Linked DNA regions of Notamacropus eugenii. The protein of the gene in region 3 interacts with the protein of the main gene of each other region in a biochemical or structural test. Links are inferred from orthologs where the notes say so. Each region holds a gene or a part of one and is shown on either strand. Other genes may lie near its edges.

What was found.
Region 1: the proteins of DLAT (region 3) and PDK2 form a complex in vitro, tested with the Homo sapiens proteins (2 studies listed by BioGRID). The link is inferred for Notamacropus eugenii from reciprocal best matches to the Homo sapiens genes DLAT and PDK2.
Region 2: the proteins of DLAT (region 3) and PDHB form a complex in vitro, tested with the Homo sapiens proteins (2 studies listed by BioGRID and IntAct, with this or other methods). The link is inferred for Notamacropus eugenii from reciprocal best matches to the Homo sapiens genes DLAT and PDHB.

Annotation. Positions count from the first base shown.
Region 1 is NC_092873.1:350,497,941-350,505,026, forward strand, and holds the start of PDK2 (pyruvate dehydrogenase kinase, isozyme 2), read right to left. Parts: upstream 3,070-7,086; 5' UTR 2,845-3,069; coding exon 2,727-2,844; intron 2,371-2,726; exon of another isoform or gene 2,274-2,370; intron 1-2,273. UniProt on the Homo sapiens protein: Kinase that plays a key role in the regulation of glucose and fatty acid metabolism and homeostasis via phosphorylation of the pyruvate dehydrogenase subunits PDHA1 and PDHA2.
Region 2 is NC_092874.1:466,872,385-466,880,096, reverse strand, and holds the start of PDHB (pyruvate dehydrogenase E1 component subunit beta, mitochondrial), read right to left. Parts: upstream 3,045-7,712; 5' UTR 2,644-3,044; coding exon 2,596-2,643; intron 2,505-2,595; coding exon 2,451-2,504; intron 2,334-2,450; exon of another isoform or gene 2,212-2,333; intron 1,750-2,211; exon of another isoform or gene 1,592-1,749; coding exon of another isoform or gene 1,583-1,591; coding exon 1,475-1,582; intron 1,395-1,474; coding exon 1,332-1,394; intron 1,247-1,331; coding exon 1,211-1,246; intron 1,080-1,210; coding exon 794-1,079; intron 1-793. UniProt on the Homo sapiens protein: The pyruvate dehydrogenase complex catalyzes the overall conversion of pyruvate to acetyl-CoA and CO(2), and thereby links the glycolytic pathway to the tricarboxylic cycle.
Region 3 is NC_092876.1:142,178,586-142,186,553, reverse strand, and holds the start of DLAT (dihydrolipoyllysine-residue acetyltransferase component of pyruvate dehydrogenase complex, mitochondrial), read left to right. Parts: upstream 1-4,915; 5' UTR 4,916-5,030; coding exon 5,031-5,309; intron 5,310-5,654; coding exon 5,655-5,756; intron 5,757-6,057; coding exon 6,058-6,182; intron 6,183-6,341; coding exon 6,342-6,498; intron 6,499-7,968.

The DNA.
Region 1 (7,086 bases), on a different chromosome or scaffold from region 3:
CAGTACCAGGCACATAGGAAATACTTAAGAAGTGTTTGTTAAGCTACAGATTGATTGCCTGAGATGGAAGGACACTTAGAGACCATCTAATCCAGTCCCCTTATTTTACAGAGAAGGAAACTGAGAAAACCTTGGAACAGAACAGACTTCCCTCAATTCCCACAGCTAGTGGCAAAGTCTAGATTAGAGCCCAGGTCTCCTGCTTTCCAATCCAGCGTTCCTACTCTGCCCTCCCTAAACTCCACCCATCTATCCCATCTTGATAGCGACTCCCCAGCCTTACTCCAATTACATCTATTTTACTGTAACCCAGGTTCCTCCAGGCCAACAAGTTTCTTCTTTTTTCCTTCTCTACCAGGTGCTAGTAACTTGGGTAGCAGGGAATGAAATAGGGAAAAAAATTAAATGTAACAGGGTCCCAATTCCAGGGTATTGTTCCAAAGAGAGAAGGGCTTTCAGATTCTCAAGGGTCAGAGTCCTTGGGTTAGAACATTGGCTTTCCTGAACAACAGAAGCTGAGTTAAGGCAGGGAGAAATTAGAGGCAAGCCAGAGGAAGGAAACAGATTATAGGTCTGGAGTTAGACGGGCCCTCAGAGGCCATCAAATCCAACCGCCTCCCCAATTTTACAGATGAGGAAACTGAGGCCCAAGGGTGTTAAATGATGTGTATAACATCAAACAGGTTTGGGTTTCAGAGGCAGGATATGGACTCAGATCCTCTCACTGCTAAACCAGGAAGGACTCTTTCTGCTATACTACGATACTGCTCAGCTATTCCTGCTTCACTGTTTCTGCTGGAATAGATCTAAAATTTATCACTTTTGGCTTAGGTTCTCCTCCCTGCTGAGGCCAGATGTACAGTGATCACCTGCCTTAGGACCTGTCTAAGGGAGAACTGGGATCCCATCTTCCTCTGCTTTCCCTAACTCCCAGATCATCCCTCATACTTGGGGAGCATGAATCCTCAGATCTTTGGTTGAGAATGAAGTGACTAGGGATGGGCAAAGGCGATAAAGGAATGGCAGAGAGGAATCAAGACCTATGAGCAGGTGTCTAGCTGCCACAATCCCTATGGTTCTAGGTCCTTGCCAAGCGCTGTACTCTTCCTCCCCTTGCAGTGATGTAGACCATAACCAGAGCCAGGCACTATCTTTCCAACCCTACAGAGATCTAGAAGACCTCCCTCCCCACTCGCCCCGCAGCTGTCACCAAAGAAGTGCCCAACGGATAGATCCAGGCACACACAATACCCATTTCATGAGCCCAGTTAGTACAGCCTCTAACTGGCCCACCCATCATAACGGGGACTGGTACAAGGTGATCCTGATCCTAAGATGGGGGGGATACCAAGAGGTGGTTTCCTTTCCCCTCTTCTACTCTACCCCACAAGGAATCTAATGGTGTTTCTGTCCTCAGTTATAGTTCATTGCCCCTCAAAAACAGCTTGGGAGCCTTTGATATTCAAATGTCGTTGTTTAGATGGGCAGCCTTTGAAAGCAGTGGGGGTAGGGGAATGGGCCGATACCTAACCTTAGCCCCTAATACCTCTCTTCAGTTACTAATGGAAGACCTCTAACCTTTAACTCCTGTGCCCTGCCCTCTGTCCTTTATGACAGAATCCTCCTCTAAAGTCCCATATCCCAGGATTCTCTCCTGTCCTATTCATAAATCTATAGACCTCGGTTATTTTTACCCCTCAGTGTTCCTATCATTGTCTGCACAAGACCTAGGTACCCCACTACTCCATTAGAAGCAATGTCATTGACCCTCCCCTTGCCCGGCTCTCTCTGCCTATTGTCCCCATCTTTCCTCCTATCTCCTCCACCTTCCTGTTCCCTAACCCACCTTAACCTTGGATACCATGTGTGGAGACACCCCTACCCAACAAATAATCCTTTTTAATATCTGGGCCCCTCCCTAGTCTTTCTCCAACTCCTTTCCCCAGCCTCCCCCTCCCTCCCACATCTTCATTCTCCCAGAAGAAACTCCTTTGCAGCTCAGAATCCCTTCCTCTATCAACCTGGCCTGCTACCATCACCTCTCATCTCCAACTCTTTCCCAAGTCCTAATTCGCCTCTTAAACCCTTTTATTCCTAGTTCCCTACTCACAGATCCCTCATTTAACCTTGACCATCCTGTTTTCACCTTCTCCAGATTGCCCCATAAACTAGCCCTGGTCTGGAGTTCTTTACCAATAACCCTTCCTCTCCCAGCCCCCTCCTTAAACCTTGTTAGGGTGGGCTCCTACTTTCCCGGCTCCTTCTCTATTTACCCTTCTCAGACTCAAGCCCCGGGCCAGCTCCGGGTCCAGCCTTGGCATTAACTCCTCCCGGACTAGAGCCCAATTCTTTTCTTCTCACAGCCAGGAGCCCCGGCCTCTCTCTCTCTATTAACCCTTGCCAGCCTGCAGTCCTCTTGATTCTTCATTAACCCTTCCCCGACTGAAGCCCTTGACTGTCCATCAACCTTTGACTCTCCCATTAACCTTACCCAGGCTGGAACCCCTTTGACTTTCCCATTAATTTTTCTCAGGTTGGAGTCGCCTTGACTCTCCATTAACCCTTGCCAGCCTGCAGCCCCCTTCACTCTCTGTTAACCCTTGCCAGCCTGCAGCCCCCTTCACTCTCCATTAACTCTTGCCAGCCTGCAGCCCTCGCCTGCCTCCCCATCGCCTCTGCCTAGTCTGAAGCTCTCGCGACCCCTCCTCGCCCAAAGTCCTACGCACCAAAGTCCAGAAATTGCTTCATGGACAGCGGGGACGGGGAAAACTTGCTGAAGTGCTCGATGTACTTGGGCGCCCCGGCCAGGGACGCGTTCTTTAGCAGCGCCCGGACCCAACGCATGGTGGCGGTGGCAGTGGCAGTGACGGTGACAGTGGAGGTGGAGGCCCCGTTCCGGGGCCCAGAGGCGTTCAGCTCCCGCTCCCGACGCCCGGGGCCAGCCACCTCGCCTGCTCCTTCCTCCCCTCCCCTTTCAACACCGCTTTAGCGGCCTACGCTCCTCTGGCCAATCATTTCTCCCCGCCCCCGGCCGCCTCCAGTCCTCTCACACAAACAACTCTGGTCGGACCAATGAGAAGACGCCTCGGCACGTGGCTTCCCACGGCGCCCACCCTCTTAACCCTTTCTGGCCAGGGTCCCTCTCCAGTTGTGACCGAGCTCCTTCTTCGATCCCGCCCCCGAGGCTGAAGCTGTTAACCCTTCCCTTCCCGTAGCCCAACCCATAGATCCTGTCCCCTCCCCGTAGGTCGTTTAACCTTCCTAGCCTTGGGAATGGGTTACCCCGAGTCTCCCGGGAAGAGCTCTCGGGAGCCCTTTCATCCCCTGATTCCCCATGTCCCCCTCCCGGGGGTGGGACGTGGGAGGCCCCTCTCCAGCCCTGCGCTCACGCCTCCAGGCCCAAGGGAGGAGGTTTTTCAGGCTGTGACTCAGCCGCACGTTTGCAAGGAAGGAGGCCTGCAGGTGGTAGAAATTGATTCATTGGGGCTTGTTTGGCTCCCTTGGGAACTCAGGAAGATGAAAATGCCGTGCAAACACTTGGTTTTCTCGTTAAGAAAAGCGCATCCCGGGCGGGCCTTAAAACTCAACACCCCCTCTAAGCTTTTGGAGATGTCATCCCGCTCCACTTTAGGCTTTTGCTTTTGGGGGTGGTGAAGGGAATCCTTACCCCATTACATAATATGCATGCACGCACACCTACACTCCCCTCTCCCCCCCCACCCCCGCACCCCGTCTCTCCGCTATGTGTAGGTTTCTCCTTCCCCCTCCCGACGTCACTCCTCAGGGTCACCCTGACTATTTCAAGGAAAATGCAATTCGGTGCCCCCTCGTGGTCACAGGTGGTATCACGAAGTAGTATCCAAGGGGAGGGGTTGGCAGGTGCGTAGTCCCGAACGTGCCAGGCCGACCACCAGAGGTACAAGGAGGAGCATGGAAGTTTCAAGTGAAATTTCCCACAGACTCGGCCTTCACGGGGGCCTGGCCTAGAGACTAGGGGAAGATGTACAATGTATCCTTTTTATGCGTCCTCTTTCCCCCATTAGAATATAAACTTCTTCAAGAGAACCCCAGCTCAATAGATGGTGAATCTGTGAAGCCTTGTAATTCTTGCACTTGACCTTCAGGGTTGGCTCCCCCTTGCACTTTAGAGAACCCTCGGAGCACTAGAGGCCAGCAAACTACCGGAAGTTTGTTGTTATTGTTGTTTAGTTGTGTCTGACTCTTCGTAACCCCATTTGGGATTTTCTTGGCAAAGATAATGGAGTGGTTGCCATTTTCTTCTCCAGCTAATTTTACAGATAAGGAAACTGAGGGAAACAGGATTACGTGACTTGTCCAGGGTCACATAGCTGGCGTCTGAAGCTGGATTTGAAATCAGGTCTTCGGACTCTAGGCCTGGGGCTCTATCCACTGCACCCCCTAGCTAACTACCAGAAGACCTATAGTCGATTACTTGTGTAATAACTCCTTAACCTTTCTGAGCCTGTTTCCTCAGGAAGGGACTTTGAGCTCTGTGAACTTGAGTATGGAAAAAGGATACAATGGAGGATCCGGTTTTATTTGAAATTAGCCCTCCCAAACACGAATCCTTCCTTCCCCAGAACAAGCTCATCAAATGTTTGGACAGCACCAAGCTGGGAGGGACATGTTAGATAAGAGAATCAGTTTCAGAAATATCTCAATAGGCTGGAGTCAGGGGTTGAAACTGAACAATGTGGAATTTAAGACAGATAAATGTAAAGTCCTACATGAATTAAAATCAAACAACAGAATGAGTACAGGATTGGGAAATGTGGCTAGATAATAGTCCATGAGAAACAGGCCTGTGTGGACAGCAGGCTCAACCATGAGTCGGCAGGGTTAAGCAAAAGCCAAAGAAGCTAATGGGATTTTAGGTTGTGTTAATGAAGGATTATGTCCTAAGTGTTATACCATATTTTTTTGAGGCAATCAGGGTTAAGTGATTTGTTCAGGGTTACACAGCTAGTAGGTATCCGAGGCTGGATTTGAACTCAGGTGATCCTGACTCCAGGATTTAGTCTCTTATCTACTTTGCTACCCAGCTGCCCACTGAATGTTATAGTAAAGGAAAACTGCTTCAGGTGGATGAATCTTCTTTGGAAGATGGATGGGGGAGGGGAGAGAATAGTATCATAGTAGGAGATAGAGCATTGGACTTGGAATCAGGGAGATCTAGATTGAAATCTTACCTTTGCCATGTGATCCAGGGCAAGTCATTTAACCATTGTCAACTTCCCTTTCCTCATCTGTTAAAGGAGGGGGTTGGGTTCCATGGCCTCCAGAGTTCTTTCAGCTTAAACCTATGGGCCTAGAAATCATACAGCATTCAAAGAGTGGAAGAGTTTCTCTCCATTCTGGTAGAGAATTGGAGGAAGTGCACAAATCAATCAGATAACCCATCGCTTTGGGAAGGAGCTGATTGAAGGAGTTCTCTGATCAATTTGACTAGAACTCCAATCAACCTGAAGAATTTACAAGGTATCTTTTAGAGTATCTGATAATCATCTCCCCAAGTGTTTTCAAAATATCAATGGACATGCCCATGTTTTCCCTGAAGTAGTGCTCATCAGATGTTCTATATGTTATGGAAGTTCATCATATTCAGAGGCTTCCACTTAATTCCTCTTATATAAGCATCCAATTTAGAATTTTGCAGCCAAGTGTCACAGTGGATAGAGTGCCAGGTCTAGAGTCAGGAAGACTCATCTTTCTGAGTTCAAATCTGGTCTCAGATACTGGCTGTCTGATCCTGGGCAAGTCACAACTCTGCCTCACTTTCCTCATCTGTAAAGTTACTGGAGAAGGAAGTGGCAAACAATTCAATATCTTTGCTGAGAAAACCCTAAATGGGGTCACAAAGAGTTGGACATGCCTGAGCTGAACAATTAAGAATATAAAGAGGGCTATATTGGCAACATATATATATTATAATATATATAATATTAATAATAAGACAATATATGACTATATATTATATATATGTAAGATATTATATATTATATTACATTGCATATGTGTATGTATATGTATATGTATGTATATACATAATGGAGTGGTTGCTATTTCCTTCAACTCATTTTACACACAAGGAAACACACATACACACACACACATATATACATATATGAAGGCACTTTCCTCTGTCTCAATCAGATCACACTTGAGTATTGTATTGTCCTTGGTCCCACCAGTCTTTGGAAAGAAGGATAAACATTGGCAAAGTATTGTCAGCCCACGGAAAGTGAACCAGGACAGTAAGAGAACTACAGACTAATCATATGCGGATCCATTAAAGGAACTAGGACTTTTAGCTTGGAAAATAGAAAAATTGGGGGGAACAAGTTGGCTTTTTTTCAAACATTTGAAGGACTGTCACAAACCAATGGTGACAAATTTGTTTTGTTTGATCTCATAGGGCAGAACTATGAGCAATGAGTAGAAATTAAAGAATTTTGGCTTGATGTAAGAGGGGGAAAAATCTTAAGTGTAGTGGAATTGGTTTTTTTTACCAACCCTTTAACCCCTAGCCAAGAATATAATCACAAGGTGTTAGTGAAGGGTTCTACTTCTTAACAATGAGAACTTTCCAAAAATGGAATGAGTGGCCTAGGGAGGTGATAGTTTTCTTTCCTTGGAGTCTTGAAGCAGGGGTTGGGTGGTATGTGGGTGATCATTTGTTGGCTGTTTTTGTGGGGCTTCCTTTCTTATATAAGTTGGACTAGATGGCTACTGAGGCCGCTTCCATTTCTCAAGTTCTGTGATAAACCAACTTCTAAAGATGCCTCTAACTACTGATCCCTTTATAAGGTGCGCATACCCAAGTGAATCAACAGTCAATTCCACTGACTGATTGATGGACTGACCCAAGGATAACCTGTACAAAATAGTTGGGACTTCCAGGAGACAAAGTTTGTATTAGTTGTGGAATGAGACTCCTGCAGAAGAAGAATTCTCTCTCTTCTTCCCTTCTTTAACCATGAGAGCCACAACCAGTTGCCTTACCACTGGACTGCAGTGACTCTGGAGGAGACAGTGAGACTGATGACTTTGCGTAGTCCTGCCTCA
Region 2 (7,712 bases), on a different chromosome or scaffold from region 3:
ATTCCAGCCCAGGAAGGAGTGGGGACAGGAGTCATCTGGGCCTCCTCTCCTCCCCACCCCATGGCCAACGCCTCCCTAGGAGAACTGAAGGATGCCACAAGGGAGGGGGGAAAGCGGGAAGTGCCCAGCTCATGGGGGACAGCAAAACTCTGGAGCCCTGCCAGAGCTCAAATAAAATGTGTATGGGAAATTAACAAAATAGATAAAAAATATAGCCCACAGAATGTTAATTTGAGGTTTTCTAAGTCAATGTGAAGTCCAAAAAGATCAGAGGGATTTCAAGTCTGTTTCAGGCTATTTTTTAAACAAGTATCGGGGAGTGTTAAGGATGACTAACTACTCATGTAGATTAAATATAAATCAATGACATTAACCTCTAGAAGAGTTCCCTTAAAAAAGCTGTGTTTTATATGAGGAAATCTCAACTGCTGTAGTTTTAAAAGACAGCTAAGCTTAATAATGGCTTGTCTATATTACATTCATCTTAGCTAATCCGGCTCTTCTGCTTATTAAAATTAAAGCATGTCAGAAATCCAGAGATGCTATGGATCACAAGCCAGGACAGGGGCAAACACACGTTTTCTCTGAACGTCAGGATATTATTCACATTCAAACAGGAAGAAATCAAGATTTAAAAACAAAACTAGTTTCTCTCTTCAAGTCATCTGATTAAAACTAGCTAAAGGTTCAGTTCCTTTAAAATGGGCATGTTTTACTCTCATTTCTAAGGTTTTCCCCAACTATAAAATTCTACGGAAGATTCTCTGTAAATCAGAAGGAAAAAAGGACTCACCGGGATTGTCATCCCGGATTGCTGATTTCATAAGGCCTTTTGAATCCTCTGCACTCCAAGGACTGACCACTTTTAATCCAGGACAGTGCCCATACCAAGCTGCAAAACACTGGGAATGCTGGGCAGCCACCCCAGCGGAAGCACCATTCGGTCCCCTGAAGACAATGGGCACCGACTGAAGCCCACCTGACATATAGTAAGTCTTGGCAGCTGAGTTTATAACCTGGTCGATTGCTTGCATAGAGAAATTGAAGGTCATAAATTCACAAATTGGCCTCAATCCTGCCTGTTAAATTAGGAAAAAACCCAACATAACTAAGTAGCTTAACGAAAAGGAAAAAAGTATCAACTACCATTGTTGCATTACGTTAAAACAATTTAAGATCAAGCCGAAAATGACCCATGTGCCTTACTTACCATGGCTGCCCCTACGGCAATCCCGGCAAAGCCCATCTGAAAAGCAAAAGCTCGGTGTGGAGGGCAGGCCTCGGCCAGCCACACTCCCGCCTCCCCACGGTCTGTCCCGCGGGCGCCCTACCTCGGATATGGGGGTGTCGATAATTCTCTTGTCTCCGTACTTCTTCCACAGGCCTCTGCTGACCTGCAGTGAACACGAAGGCAGAGCCGGTTACCGCGGGGCGGCCAGGCCCGCCGGGGGCACCCCGAATCCTTGGTCATTACCTTGTAGGCGCCATCGTACTGGGCAACCTCCTCTCCGAGCAGGAAGACCTTCTCGTCCCGTTCCAGCTCTTCGTCCATGGCCTGATTCAAAGCATCTCGAACGGTCACCTGTGGCATCGGGAGGGCGCTCGGTCCGAAGCGGCCCAGGCCCCTCCCAGGGCTCCCCTGCCAGTCCAGGACGGTCCGGGAGAATGGGAGTGGGCCAACCCAGAGAGCCAAGGTCACCGCAGGAACGACCCCAAACCGCCCCTAAGCCAAGCCAAGGTCGCATCCCCCTGCAGACACAATCCAAGCTACAGCCAGAGCGTGGGGACAAAGTCGTCCATCCCGGGCCTATCCGGCTCCTTCCCTGGGAATCCGGGGCAGAATGTTTGCTTTTAATTAAATTAAACTGATTAGAACCTATTTTGGTGGAACATATGATTAAAGAACCGGAAACAGGGGAGGGGGATTTGGAAAAGGGCCATGGCCAAGTTAGCCCAGAAAAGTGGGCGATGGGGGACGGCTGTGACCGGGGGTCTGCCTTTCCTCGTAAAGCTGAGGCTCCCTTGGGGAAAGGGGGGTGCAAGAGGGAAGCCTGGGGACCCTGGGGTTACGTTTTCTGGCTTTCTATATGTGTTCGCTAGTTTTCAACACTCTCCAATTTTCTACAGGCTCGAGCCGCTTGCGGGGGGCGATGCTAACTCTGGGGGGGCCCCTTGGGGGTGGAGAGAAAGGAAGGAGCATTTATTAAGCACCTCGGGGCACGAAGGGATCCTTAGCCGTCTCGGGAGGCAAACACGCCTGCCCTCAACGGGCTTACACTCCTCCACGGGCGGCCCCGCCCCCAGTCGGGCAGAGGTCCGGGACTGCAGCCCAGTAGACGGCGCCCCACCCCCACGCAGGAGTCTAATACGCAGGCGCAGCCCCGGCCTCCCTCCTCTCCGCCCCCCCCCCCCCCCCCTCGCCCCGCGGCCCCTGCCGCCCTACCCCGTACCTGCAGCGCCGCGGGCGCCGAGCGGTGGAAGCGCCTCCGCAGCAACCGGGACACCTGGCGGGCAGGGAGAGAGAACGAAAGTCAGTGGGGTGGAGGGGCCGGGGCCGGCGTGGGAGGGGTGTCTTCTCTTCGGGGTCGCGCCTACCTGCTGGCCGCAGCCGGTGAGCCCTCTTCGCACTAGCCCCGTCGCCATCTTGCCCGTGTCCTCTACCGGTGACGGAGGCTCGGTCTAATGACAACGGCGAGCCATAGCGAGGGGACGGGTCGGCCCCTCCCCTGACCTCGACACCGTCCAATGGGAGGGCGCGGTGTGCGCGTGCTTCCCTCCTTCCCGCTCTGGGAGGCGGGGCAAGGGCGGGACCCCAAAGCCAGACAGCCTGGGATTGGAGCTCGCGTGTGTCCCTTTCCGCCGGAGGCGCCACCTGATTTCGATTAAAATAAACTTTATTGATAGCGTCGGGGCGCACACTCAGAGGGCACGCCGTGCCCTTTGCCTGCGACCGAGCGTGGGTTGAAATCCCAGGCTCCTTTTAGCCCTGACGCTCAGTTCTCCTTCCTGGAGAGCCTTTCGGTCCGCAAAGCTCCTTTGAAGTCTCTGACCCTCCGTTCTTTGATTCCCCTGCTAGATAACGGCTAATTGTCCAGGCAGTCCGCCTGGCCCAGTGTGTGTTGTGGGAGGCGAAGGGGCTCATACTTGGTTGTAAATATCAGCTCTTGAGCTCCACTTGATTGTAAATGTCAGCTTTGTAAATTTCAGCTGAGAGGTCGGCTTTGTAAATATCAGCCCTGGAGGCCGGCTAGGATACTAAGTATCACCTAGGAGACCCGCCCATCTCCATCGAGTAGCTTGGAGAGAGTCCATCTACAGGCATGTAACTTTTTAAAAATTCCATTTTGTTTTATTTTCAGTTTCTAATTTTTCTCTCCAGCCCACTGGGAAAGCAAGAAAAACATAACACAAGTTACAGATAGATGCGTGTCAGGCAAAACTAATGATCACATTAGCCAGGTTAAAAAACACAACAAACTTTGTCCCCTGAGACCGATGCCTTTCGGTGCAGATGCGTAATCTTTCTCATTATGAGGCAGTGCTCTGGAATTGTGAGTGGTCATTTCGATAATTCCTAAATCTTTCACCGTTGAATTCTACTGTGGTGCTGTTGTTATCGTGTGGTTTCCCTGGTTCTGATCACTTCGTTTTGCATCAGTTCCTGTAAGTCTTCTCAGGTTTCTTTGAAACGATGCTCTACACCCACGAGCTCACATTTTAACAAGGAAGACAACTTGCAAATAGCTGTTTACAACTTAGTCAAGGTTTTTTCAAAAGCTTAAAATTTGCACCAAGGCTTTTGGGATGCCCTGTATGCAAAATAGCTGGGAGGGCAGAGAAAAGCTTCCTGAAGAAGATGGTGTTTGAGCTGAGTCTCGAAGCCCCCCCACGGAAGCTGGCCAGTGTGGATGGGTGGAAAGAACATCGAGGGCCTGGGTACAGCTACCAGCTCTAACACCTTTATTACCTGCACAGCTTCAAACAAGTTACATAACACATCTGAGCCTCAGTTTCCTCAAAAGTATAATGAGAGGATTGGAGCAGGTGGCTTCTGGGACTTTTCCCAGCTTTGAATCCGTGATCCATTGAGCAAGGACTTTCCTGGCAACATCCTTGACGGTACAGCGGAATCCACAGCCTCTTACACCCTTAGACAGCACTTGATGACTTTCACCCCAGATCTTCCTTCTGGGGACAGATAAAGCAAGACGAGTTCCTAGGAAATGCATCAGTACTTCAGACACCACACCTGAAGACAGTTATCAGGGTGACTCTAAACCTTCCAAACAGTACTAACCTTCACATGCTATGACCTATGGAAAGGGACCCTTCAATAAGGCGGTTCTCTCTACCTGTATCTGCTGCCCTGCCAGGTTTCAAGTCCACGAACAAGATGCCCCAGCCCCTGGTACCCTTTGGTGTCTCTCCCTTTCTTTCTGTGTTCTACCGGCTTTCCTGCAGTCTTTTGGGTGTTACCTCCTTTAGATTTTAAGCTCCCAGAGCACAGGCACTAACATTCTTTTTGTTATTTGTGTCCTCAGCACTTAGAACACTATTATCATAGACACTATTTATTGGCTTGCTGGTTTGGCAATTCAATTTATTTATTTAGGCAATTCAGTTTCATTAAATGCTTACTGTGTACTAAGCACTGGAAAAAACCAAAACAATCCCAGCCTCCAAGAATTAATATGAGACTGAATAGAGGGGCTGGGACTAGAGTCAGGAGGGCCCAAGTTCAAATCTGACCTTGGACATTTATTAGCTATATGACCCTAGGCAAGTCACTTAACCTCAGTTTCCTTACCTGTAAAATGGGAATAATAATAGCACCTACGTCACAGGATTGTTGTGAGGATTAAATGAGATATTTCTTAAAAGTGCTTAGCAGGGCATCCAATTTATATAAATGCTTATTCCTTTTTCTTCCTCTTGGGGTGGGAAGAAGAAAGTAGCATATAGGTAAACACAAGATAACTTCTGGGGGGAGAAAGTACTGGCAACTGGCAGAATCAGGAAAGACTTCCTGTAGGAGATGGTCTCTGAACCAAGAAGAAGCCAGAGATTGTATGAAGCTCAGGTAAGAAGGGAAGGTTTGAAGGGAAATGGAAGATGGAATAGTGCCTCCTTGACTGGAGCAGAGAGTAGGGGAAAGGAAGGAATACAAGTCAGTCTGGACAGGTAGTGGAAGCCAGGCTCTGAAGGGTTTTATAAATCAAGATTAACTATTGGTATTTTTATCCTTGAATCAGTAGGGATCCACTTGGGGCCTTTGAGCAGAATTATTAATGCCTATATAGTCATGGATGGTTGAATTAGGGGACCAAATGCCCCCCAATGTCTTTTTCTCTTTATTAGTCACATTTTCTCCTCCTTACTCTTCTCTAACATGCCACCAAGGCTGAAGCAAATTAGGGCAGTAGCCTCGGTCGAAGCCTTTGGTTACTCAGACACCTAACAAGGAGGGATTGAGGAGGTTTGGAGTTGGTAGAGCAGGTTCAGGTGTGAAAGAATTCACTTAGACCTTCACTTATAGCCAATAGGAACTTTTTATTTTAACTTGAAAAAAGCATCATAGTGCAAATCAGAACAACACTGAGGTACCACATTACATCTATCAGATTGACTAACATGGCAAAACAGGAAGATGATAAATGTTGGAGAATATGTGGGAGAGTTGGAACACTAATTCATTGTTGGTGGAGCTGCGAGCGCATCCAACCATTCTGGAGAGCAATTTGAAACTGTGCCCAAAGGGCTACAAAAATGTGCATACCCTTTGACCCAGCAATATTGCTTCTAGGACTGTATCCCAAAGAGATCATAAAAATGGGAAAGGGTCCTACATGTACAAAAATATCTATAGCCACTCTCTTTGTGGTGAGCAAAAACTGGGAATCAAGAGGATGCCCATCAATTGAGGAATGGCTGAACAAGTTGTGGTACATGAATGTAATGGAATACTATTGTGCTGTAAGAAATGATGAACAGGAAGACTTCAGAGAGGCCTGGAAAGACTTTTATGAACTGATGCTGAGTGAAAGGAGCAGAACCAGGAGATCATTGTACACAGCAACAACCACAGTGTGCGAGGAATTTTTCTGGTAGACTTAGTCCTTCATAACAATGGAAGGACCTAAAAAAATTCCCAGTGGGTTCTTGAGGCAAAATGCCTTCAACATCCAGAGAAAGAACTATGGAATTGGATCACAGAATGAAGCCAACCTTTTTCTTTTGTATTATGTTATATTTTGTTTTATGGTTTCTCCCCTTCATTTTAATTCTTCTATGCAACATGACTAAGGTGAAAATGTATTTAATAGGAATGTATGTGTAGAACCTATATGAGATTGCATGCTGTCTTGGGGAGGGAGTGGAGAGGGAAGGGAAAAAATCTAAGATATATGGAAGTGATTGTAGAACACTGAAAACAAGTAAAATAATTAAAAAAGAAAAATTTTAAAAAATTAAAAAAAGAAGAAAAGAGCATCACGGGGCTCCTTAGCAAGATGGCTAAGTAAAGTCTCAATATTCAGGCCTCAAGTTATGCTTATGAAGAGATTTCAGAATGATGATGTAGTTTTAGAGATTTTTATGGGGGTTGAAGATTAGGGACATAATGAGGAAGATGGATGACAGGAAGATGAGTAAGGAAGATGGGGGAAATTTTATGGGTAAGGGGGAAGTTTTATGGTTTAAGGATTTAAGGACAGGGCAGGAGGATATGGGTTAAAAATTAAAGGACCCAAGGAACACAGAATAAGGGAGACAAAAGCAATTCTTTTGGTACAGGTTCAAGATAATTGGGAAAAGGACTTTAGGGTGCCTTCAGGTTACAGAATAAACTAGGGGCTTCACAAAGTACTAGAAAAGCAACCTTATTTTTTTTTAACTCTTAGGGCACTGTTTGTATCTTAATCGTGACTTAGTTGTTATGGGGCATGTTGAAGGAGCCAGTGTTTACCAAGGAAGACTGACCATTCGTCCACCCACACAAGAGTCTGCCATTCACTAAGGTCAGGCTAAGTTAAACTGCCCTTTCCCTCTTTCTGGTCATACTCCTCAGCTCAGGCCACACATTATTTTTCCTCTTCCCCTTCAGGATTGTCCTGGATTTAAGTCTTTTCAACTTCTGGAATATGAAGTTTGGAGGAGATGTGAGCTAAGTGGTGAAGATGGTGGGTTCTGTTTTCAAGAAGCCTAAACAATTCCCAGGTGAAGATGTCTGACAGGCGGTTGGAATGCAGGAGAGAAATCAGGGTAAAATGCACAGCTGTTAGGGTCAGAGGAGGTCCTTTTTGTTGACAGTATTGTCTTTGGGGAGACTCTAGAAGAACATGAGGAAACACTGGAAAAAGTATTGGATCAACTAGGGCAGAAGTTCCCCAACTTGTTTGTCCTACCACTAACTTTTCAAAAAAAAAGAAAATTACTCGATGCCACCCTGGAAATCTACTTTCTTTTACCTTTTAACGAGTTTGTTTGTTTGTTTGTTTTTGATGTTTGCATCATTTCAAAAAAATATAGGATATAAGATATAATAAAATATAGGATATAATTTTTTTTGAAATGATGCATCTTAAATTTAATAATTTATTATTTTTATGTTTTTTTTCCTGTATTGAAATTTTGATGATGCAGTATTTTGTCATGTAACAGTATAGTGTATTGTAAAAAGGCATTACCTGCAGATATTCCTGCTGACGTGTGCT
Region 3 (7,968 bases):
GGGATTAGTTGTAAATGTAAATTCCCCACCTGAATGCAGCACCAATAAACATTTAATAACCCCACATTTACTGTCTGCTGAGCACCTTGTTAGGCCTTAGGGAAGATAGTTTACATAATAGGACAGAGTCCCAGCCACCAGTGGGCTTAAGAGTCTTAGAGCGTAAAGCATAATCAAATGAATGTTGAACTTGAGGTCAAGAGATCTGGGTTTGAATCCTACCTCAGACATTTAACTAGTATGAGGGAGGATGGTGTTTTACAACCCTGAAAATTCAATGTAATTTCAAATTCAGGTAGAGGTGATAAAAGATAGCCTTTGAGATACTTTACAACTCTCACATGCTATGTTGGGTAGGAATTTTATAGGCAAACGGAGGGAGAAAGTCCCATTTCATCCCCAGTATACGGAACAATCAGAGCAAAAGTATGGAGACATAAGAACCGTGCATGTTTAGGGGATAGAAAGTTATCCAATTTGACTGAAATGTAGAGGAGGGACATGAGAGCTATTTCAAGTACTTGAAGCTGTCTTCTGGAAGAGGAATTAAATTTGTTTTTGCTTGGCCTCAGAGAAGCAGAAGTAGGAGCAGTGGATATAAGATTGAGGAGAAAATTTTGGCTTAAGAGAAGGGAAAACTTCTAAAGGTTGCCTTATGAGGAAATGTATTCCCCTTCATTTGAAGTCTTCCAACAAAAGCTAGATGACCTACCTGTTTGGTATGCTGTTGAGGATATTCTTGGTCAGGTATGGGTTGGATTAGATGGTCTATAAAATCCTGCTCACCTCTGATTCTGTGCATGGAAGTGATTAATACAAGATAAGGCAGGAAAAGGAAGCTAAATTATGAAGAGTCTTGAATGCCAGATAGATGTCTGAACTCTCCCTGGGTCTCACTGACAGGTTGGGTCCCCCAGAAGTAACTGTTATTCCTCTCAAGGTTCTAGGGACAATCCCATGAGTGATTATCATTCCAAATGCCAGCTCATAAGCCCCCACTAGTATGCTTCCCCTTACAATCAATTAGTAGGTTCATTTAGTTCTTTAGCAAAGGCATTTATTCAAATAGCATAGCAAAAAACAGTAAGTAGTCACAAAGCATTTTTTTCCAATATAAAGGACATATTCTTCCACAAATACACTCAGAAATCAGGAAGCTGGTAAGAGTGGACATGAACTTAAAAGGTGTGTGTGTTCATCCTTCGTTGCCAAAGAAGACCATGCCATCAGAGAAACGATGACATGACTTGTACTTGTGAGGGAGGGTTGTACAGGTTGCCAGCCTCACTTCTCCTCCACAGCCAACTGAATCCAGTGACTTGATATTCCTCGGGATGACTAGAGATAACCCAGGATGAGACAATTGGGGTTAAGTGACTTGCCCAAGGTCACATAGCTAGTGAGTGTCAAGTGTCTGAGGTGAGATTTGAACTCATGTCCTCCTGACTCCTGCACTGGTGCTCTATCCACTGTACCACCTAGCTGCCCGTTGAATTTAAAATACAGTGGTAATGAAACACAAGTACTAGGGAACCCATATGGCTAGGCAATTCACTATTCCAGAGCTTCTAGGCCTCATTGTCCTTTCTTCAGAGGGTCATCACAAAGTTAACTTCTGGGCCTGCTCTTGAGGGTGTATTCTTTTTCTTCTTTTAGTCACTACTGTCTTCAGCTGGAAGAGTATCAGCATGCTCCTTTCAGCTGGAGTACTTTAGAACTCTTTTTAACTCTTGTGATCGTTCTGAAACTTGGACTTATTCATTTAGTGTTATCATGAGTCAGGTGGATTTCATAGGTCCAGGAAAAAGTAGGACCTACAGAAAGGAGGGCTGTTGGATTCCTGACTGAGGACAAAAAAACAGAAGCCTCTGTGGGTCCTTGTGAGCCTTCTTCTAATGGCCAAGCCTCTGCAATTCTTTGAAGTTGATTAAACAACCTTTCCAATTGTAAGGATGTAGGAAAACTTGCACACCTCTTTTTTTCTAGATGAAGAAACTGAAGTGGAGAGAAGACTTGCCCAAGGCCACATATATGTAACTCAGGGCCTTTTTTCCTTCATTGTTGAGGGCCAGGGTGGAGTGCTGTTGACAAGATCAGGAAAGATCTTTGGGGAAACTGTTCTTTGAGACTGTGCTCATTATCATGCGGAATGGCTCTCCACGCTCCCCAGACGTTGCTATCTCCGTGAGACAAACATGGGAACTACAGAAAACAAGGGATATGTAAAATAGATGTCCTGTAGGCTAACAGTCTTTAAAGACAATAAGACTGGCCAAATCACTGGGACAGGAGACGAGCAGAATGTCACATAGACTTGCAGTTTCTGTCTATATATACCCTAACCCTCGGATCAATAAATGGAATTGGTCTATCTTTTCCCGCCTCCCGTGTCTCTTTTCTTCACCACTTCACCGAGCTGTGTAGGGACGCGGGCCGTCTGCTACACTTCATCAACTTCCCAACCTGAAAGTAATTATATAACCCACTGCTTTATAATTAATATGATTAAATAATATTTATAACTCTGGGCGTACAGGCATTAGGGTCTATCTTATGTGCTTCTCCATAACAATAATAACTGATGTCTCTCTAAGGACACAGCTGACCTGCCAGAGCTTAGGCTAACAAGACATCAGATGTAGGACTGTTTTTATACCACCTGATAAAATACTTAATAGGCTTGAACCTGAGTCCATTAGAACTGCAGGACTGGGAAGTCCTTTGTCTCCTCATACAGTCCTCAATGTGGCCCACCTCTTGCTATCAATGGACTTTCTTCAGTCCATAGCAAACTTTTTATCTGTTCCCAGGGTTAAGTTCCAGTTGTTTCCTCCATTAAGGGCTATGTCTATGTATCAATCTGTGAGGTGTGTCTCTACTTCCTCAACTTGGCCTCAAATTTGCTCAGCCTGACTCCACTTTCTGGATGGGGTGCCTTCTTCACGGAGAGTAACTATGACTTGTGCAATCTTTGGCTCAAAAGGCTAACTATAATACGAGATTCTCTTCCTGTTGGTAGAGACTGTTCAATACCCTGCTTATGGAGGCCTTATAGACCAAGTTGGTGAGAGCTGGAGGCTTTTCTGCTATTCAACTTCAAAAGATACCATGATTCCAATCTTTTTTAACTAGATAACTGCTGATTAGGGGAGGAGGGAAAACACTTCATTCTAACCCTGGCACTGGGGATCTCACAGAGCAGCTGCTCCACAGATTTGATTACCTCCTACTAAGGAACTGCTAGATGATTTATCTAAGGGCCTAAGGGCACCGACTATTTATAATCTTCTTGTTGATTAAGGAAGTTTTAGTTACTTTTGGTACAAGGAAAACTTTTAACAAAACCTTTACATCAGTAAAACGATCCATCTCGCTAACATTCCTTCAGGCTCTATATCTTATGACTTTTTCTTATGATAATTACTGAATCAAACCTCCCAGCACGACTTCTGAATGGAATCGGTTACACAATGGAAATCCTTTGGTTACACAATAGTAACCTTAGGCAGGCAGGTGGGGTTAATGGTCTCATGTAATGGTTCACCAAGTATAGAGTAATTTTAGTAAGAGTCCACATTCTTTCCCCACTTCTCTGGCCAGGAACCCTGAGGTTGCGGGCGCCACCTGTCGGATGCTGGGGATCCTTAACTGAAACTTCTGTATTTGAACAAGAGGCACTGTGTTACTGAGGAAAGGGCACTGCATTTTGAGTCAAGGGTCCTGTTCTATACATAAATCACAAGTGGGAAGGCAGGGGGATTACAAACAGTCGTCCCCAGGGCCCGAGTGGTTCACTAGGACAAACCCACAAATGGAAGACAATCCAACAATTCTGGAGTATCGTGGGAGCAATATTGCTAGAGTCCTTGGGGAGCGGGTCGTTACTTAGTCACAGCAGGAGCAGGTTCCAGTCTTTGGCTTCACTTCAGGTACACAGGCAGAAGGATGCCAGTGATTGTGAGCCCCGCAAGGTGTGATTGATCAGTTCAAGCTGCATTGTGGGTCTGACTCACAAGCTGGAAAAGGCAATTCTGCAAAATCTGATCGATTAGCATATTCATTACACACATAAAATTGATTATAAAAATCAGAATTCCCTCCACAGACCTGTTTTTTACTATTCCACCAATAATTTTGGGCAATTCCTTTTATATCTCTCCGTCTGATCAGCTATAATAAAAGGAATTTGTCGTTTAGTCTAGTTCAGCTCTTTGTGACCCGATATGGGGTTTCTTGGCAAAAATACTGAAACAGCTTGCTATTTCCTTCTCCAGCTCATGTTACAGATAAGGAAACTGAGGCAAGCAGGATTAAGTGACTTGCCCAGGGTCACACAGCTAGTGAGCCTCTGAGACTGGATTCAAGCCCAAATTTTCCTGACTCCAGGGTGGGCCCCTAGCTGCCCAGCTGTAAAGTACTGTATTAAAATCCGGGTTCTGCTCCTGGCTCCCTGCGTACCTTGGGTAACGAGGCACCTGGACCTCAGTTTTCTCACCTGTAAAATGGGACAAGACAACTTTTTTCCACTTCTAAACCTCTGACCCTCAGACCAGAAATAAGCGCTGCGGTCCTCACTCCTCTCTCAGTGCCCGGCGCGGCCTTGAGCGAGTCACTCGAGGGCTCGGTGCCTCAGTTTCCTTCTCTGAAAAGCGGCGGGCTGGGGCAGACCCTCTCTGGGAAGCCTTCCCACGTCAAGCCCGGACGGCAGCTCGAGCACGACGGCGGCCCCTCGGCCTCGGCTCACGACGCTTCCCCTCTCCGTCCCAGCCCGGGCCTCTCCAAGGCTCGCTTTTCCCTCGCGCACCCCGGCGCTCCGCCCCACGCTCGTCCTCCCCCGAACCGCGGCCGGAGGAACTGGGCGGGACGACTTGGGAGGGACTTCCCTCGCTCTTTTACGACAGTACCCTCCTTTACCGTACGGCGCGGCGCGGTTGACGGCGGTGTCGCACGGTGGTCGCGGAGGTCACACAGGAGACGACGGCGGCTGCGGCGGCGGCTCCGGCTCACGGGCGCAGGCTCTCGGTGGCACAATGTGGCGAGTGTGCGCGCGGCGAGCCCGGTGCGCGGCCCAGCGGACGGGGTTTGGGAGCCCGGCCGCAGCCGTGGCCCCGAGGGAGGGCCCTGCGGGGCTGGCCCCTGGCCCGGCCGCCACCCCTAGGCTCTCGCGTTCTTCCCACTGCGGGGCTGGGGCGCTGCAGGGCTGGGGGCCTGGCTCCGGCTCGGCGGCCGTGCCGCGGGCTCGGCTGCTGCAGCTGCAGCTCTTGGGGACCCCGGGCCGGCGCTGGTACAGCCTCCCCCCCCACCAGAAGGTGAGGCCGCCCCCCGGCCCCCAGGCCCTGGTCCTTGACCCGGGGGTCTCGGGCCTTCCAGGCCTGGGCCGGAGACCCCCTCCTCCCGGCGAGTCCTCCCCATCCTGCCCTCTCCCCACCCTCACCCCCACCCCGTCCCGGTGGCTGGGGGCCGGGAGGGGACTGCGTGACAGACTGGAAATGTCACCTGAGAGGTAGCGTTCCTGCTGCCAACTCCACAGGGACGGGCTCATGGCAAGGAGCTGGAGCGTCTCACCGGGCTTCCGAAGGGGGCCCCGGAGCCCGGGAGGGAAGAAGCAGTGCTTGCCCTTTCGAAAGCAGGTGTCCCTTCTCTTTTCTTTCCAGGTTCCTTTGCCTTCTCTTTCCCCCACGATGCAGGCGGGCACCATTGCCCGATGGGAGAAAAAGGAAGGTGAGAAGATCAACGAGGGTGACCTTATAGCCGAAGTAAGTAGTTTGGAGAGGTGGGAAACTGAAAGCATTCGGATCGGGGTGCCTCGGAACTAACTCGGTTGTCTGGGTGGATAGTCTGAAGTATGCCGCAGCTTTGCTGGATGTCTTTCATAAGTCTGTCGGTGCATGAATGACCAAGCTGATTTTTATCTGAGAAGTCTTTAACAGCTTCTTTGATGTCTTTACAAAGGTGAAAGTTTTATTTTCACTTGTGAACTTTTTAATGCCAAATTAAGGTAATAAACGTCAGTCTGGCTGTGAGTATTTGAAAACATCCCATGTCTTCTGTTTGAAGGTTGAAACAGACAAAGCCACAGTTGGATTTGAGAGCCTAGAAGAGTGCTACCTGGCTAAGATAATTGTTCCAGAAGGTACCAGAGATGTTCCAATTGGAGCAGTCATCTGTATCACTGTTGAAAAGTAAATACTCTTGATTTTATCTGCTTGAACATTTCCATGCGCAACAGTTGGATATTGATGTGTTTGAACCTAGAATTGAGGGATGGCTAGAAGTTACCTTTTCCTCCATGACTCACAAGGGTAATGAAAATGTCTATGTGTGTTTTCTTCCCACCTTAGAGCAGAGGATGTGGATGCATTTAAAAATTACACCCTGGATTCCGCAGCAGCAGCAGCCCCCCCCACCCCACAGACTTCCACACCTCCTCCCCCTGCTTCTGTGCCTTCAACACCTTCTGTTCAGGCTCCAGGAAGCTCGTATCCTCCTCATATGCAGGTAAAGTTTAACTATTGAACTTTCCCAAGAATTTGCCTTTTCAATTGATTATTAATTCCTTTACATTTGTGTGTGTATTACTAATCTTGAGGAAGCTTAAAAACTGAAGTGGTTTATAGTTAGGTCTTTCTGCAAAGATAAAACAGTTTCCATATAGGAGTAAATAACAAGCATGAAAACTCAAGCTGTACCCATACCTGGAGGGTTCCTTTCAACCTGATCTCTGCCTTTTAAAGTACTACCTCTAGGTGACACCTTTTCTGTGAAGCCTTCATTGAGTATGCTCATTCCCTTCTATTTATCTGTTTGTATACATGTTGTTTTTCTGGTGTCTGTTCACAGTCCCTTACACTTAGTGAAAACTGAGTGAAGTTTATTCCCACATGTGACCTTGGACAGCTCCTTGGACCTTGCTGAGCCTGAGTGTTTCCATTTGTAGATCTAGTAGTTTAACGCTGCCTTCTTCCCGTGTCAGGGACGTTGCAAGTGTAGTAAATTATAAACCCATAATCAATATTTTGTAGTTTTTTTTCCTAAACATGTTATAATTGAAATCCAGAGACATGTTTGTCAAGTGCCTTTCCTTTTCTTTGTTTGTGATTAATTATGTCCTCTAAATTTAAATGGGATGGTTCTAGTCTTTCAGTAACACTGATGGTTTAAAGTTAGGAAACTGACAGCAACTAATGTGTATAAATTTAAATGTGTAAATAAACATTTGTTTAGAAACATAAGACATTAAGGCCCTCTTACTATAAAGATTTTATGACTTTTAAACATTGAGTTAGGTCAGAGTTGCTTGAAATAAATCTAGTATCTATTCATGATAGATGTATCTCTCATGATAGAGATAAAAGATGGAAAGTATTCAGCAGTATCTTCCTCCTGAAAGTTGGTTCAAACCAATATATCATTTATATGGCTCTGTCATTTGCCACTTTGTAGAGATTTCCAAAGAGGAATTATTTCTATTTTTTGGGGGAGGATCATGCTCCTCCTTATCATACTCTGACATCCCCTTGCTATTACCAGTGAGAAACTGGTATATTCAGTTTAAGCTCGTGTTTCTTCACTCTGCATTGTTGTGTTCCCTTGAATAATTATGCCTCTTTTGTTATTTTCTCTTTTATGCTCAGACTCTGCATCTTAAATAATTCACACATTTTAAAAAATTGTTTTGTTAATCTTAGTAATCAGATAATGATGACAAGTTTTAGAAGGAAGATTACTTTTGATCTGAGTCACCTGGTTTGCTGTTTTTGGGAATATATGAATCGTTATTGTTGTGTTTGTCCTTTGCTGCCAAAGAAGACCATGCCATCAGAGAAATGATAACATGACTTGTACTTTGTTTTGAGTGAAGGAGGACTGTGCAAGGTCACCAGCCTCACTTCTGCCCTGGAGCCATCTGGATCCAGTGACCAGATATTCATGAGGATGATTGGAGATGGCCCAGGATGCAGTGGGAGA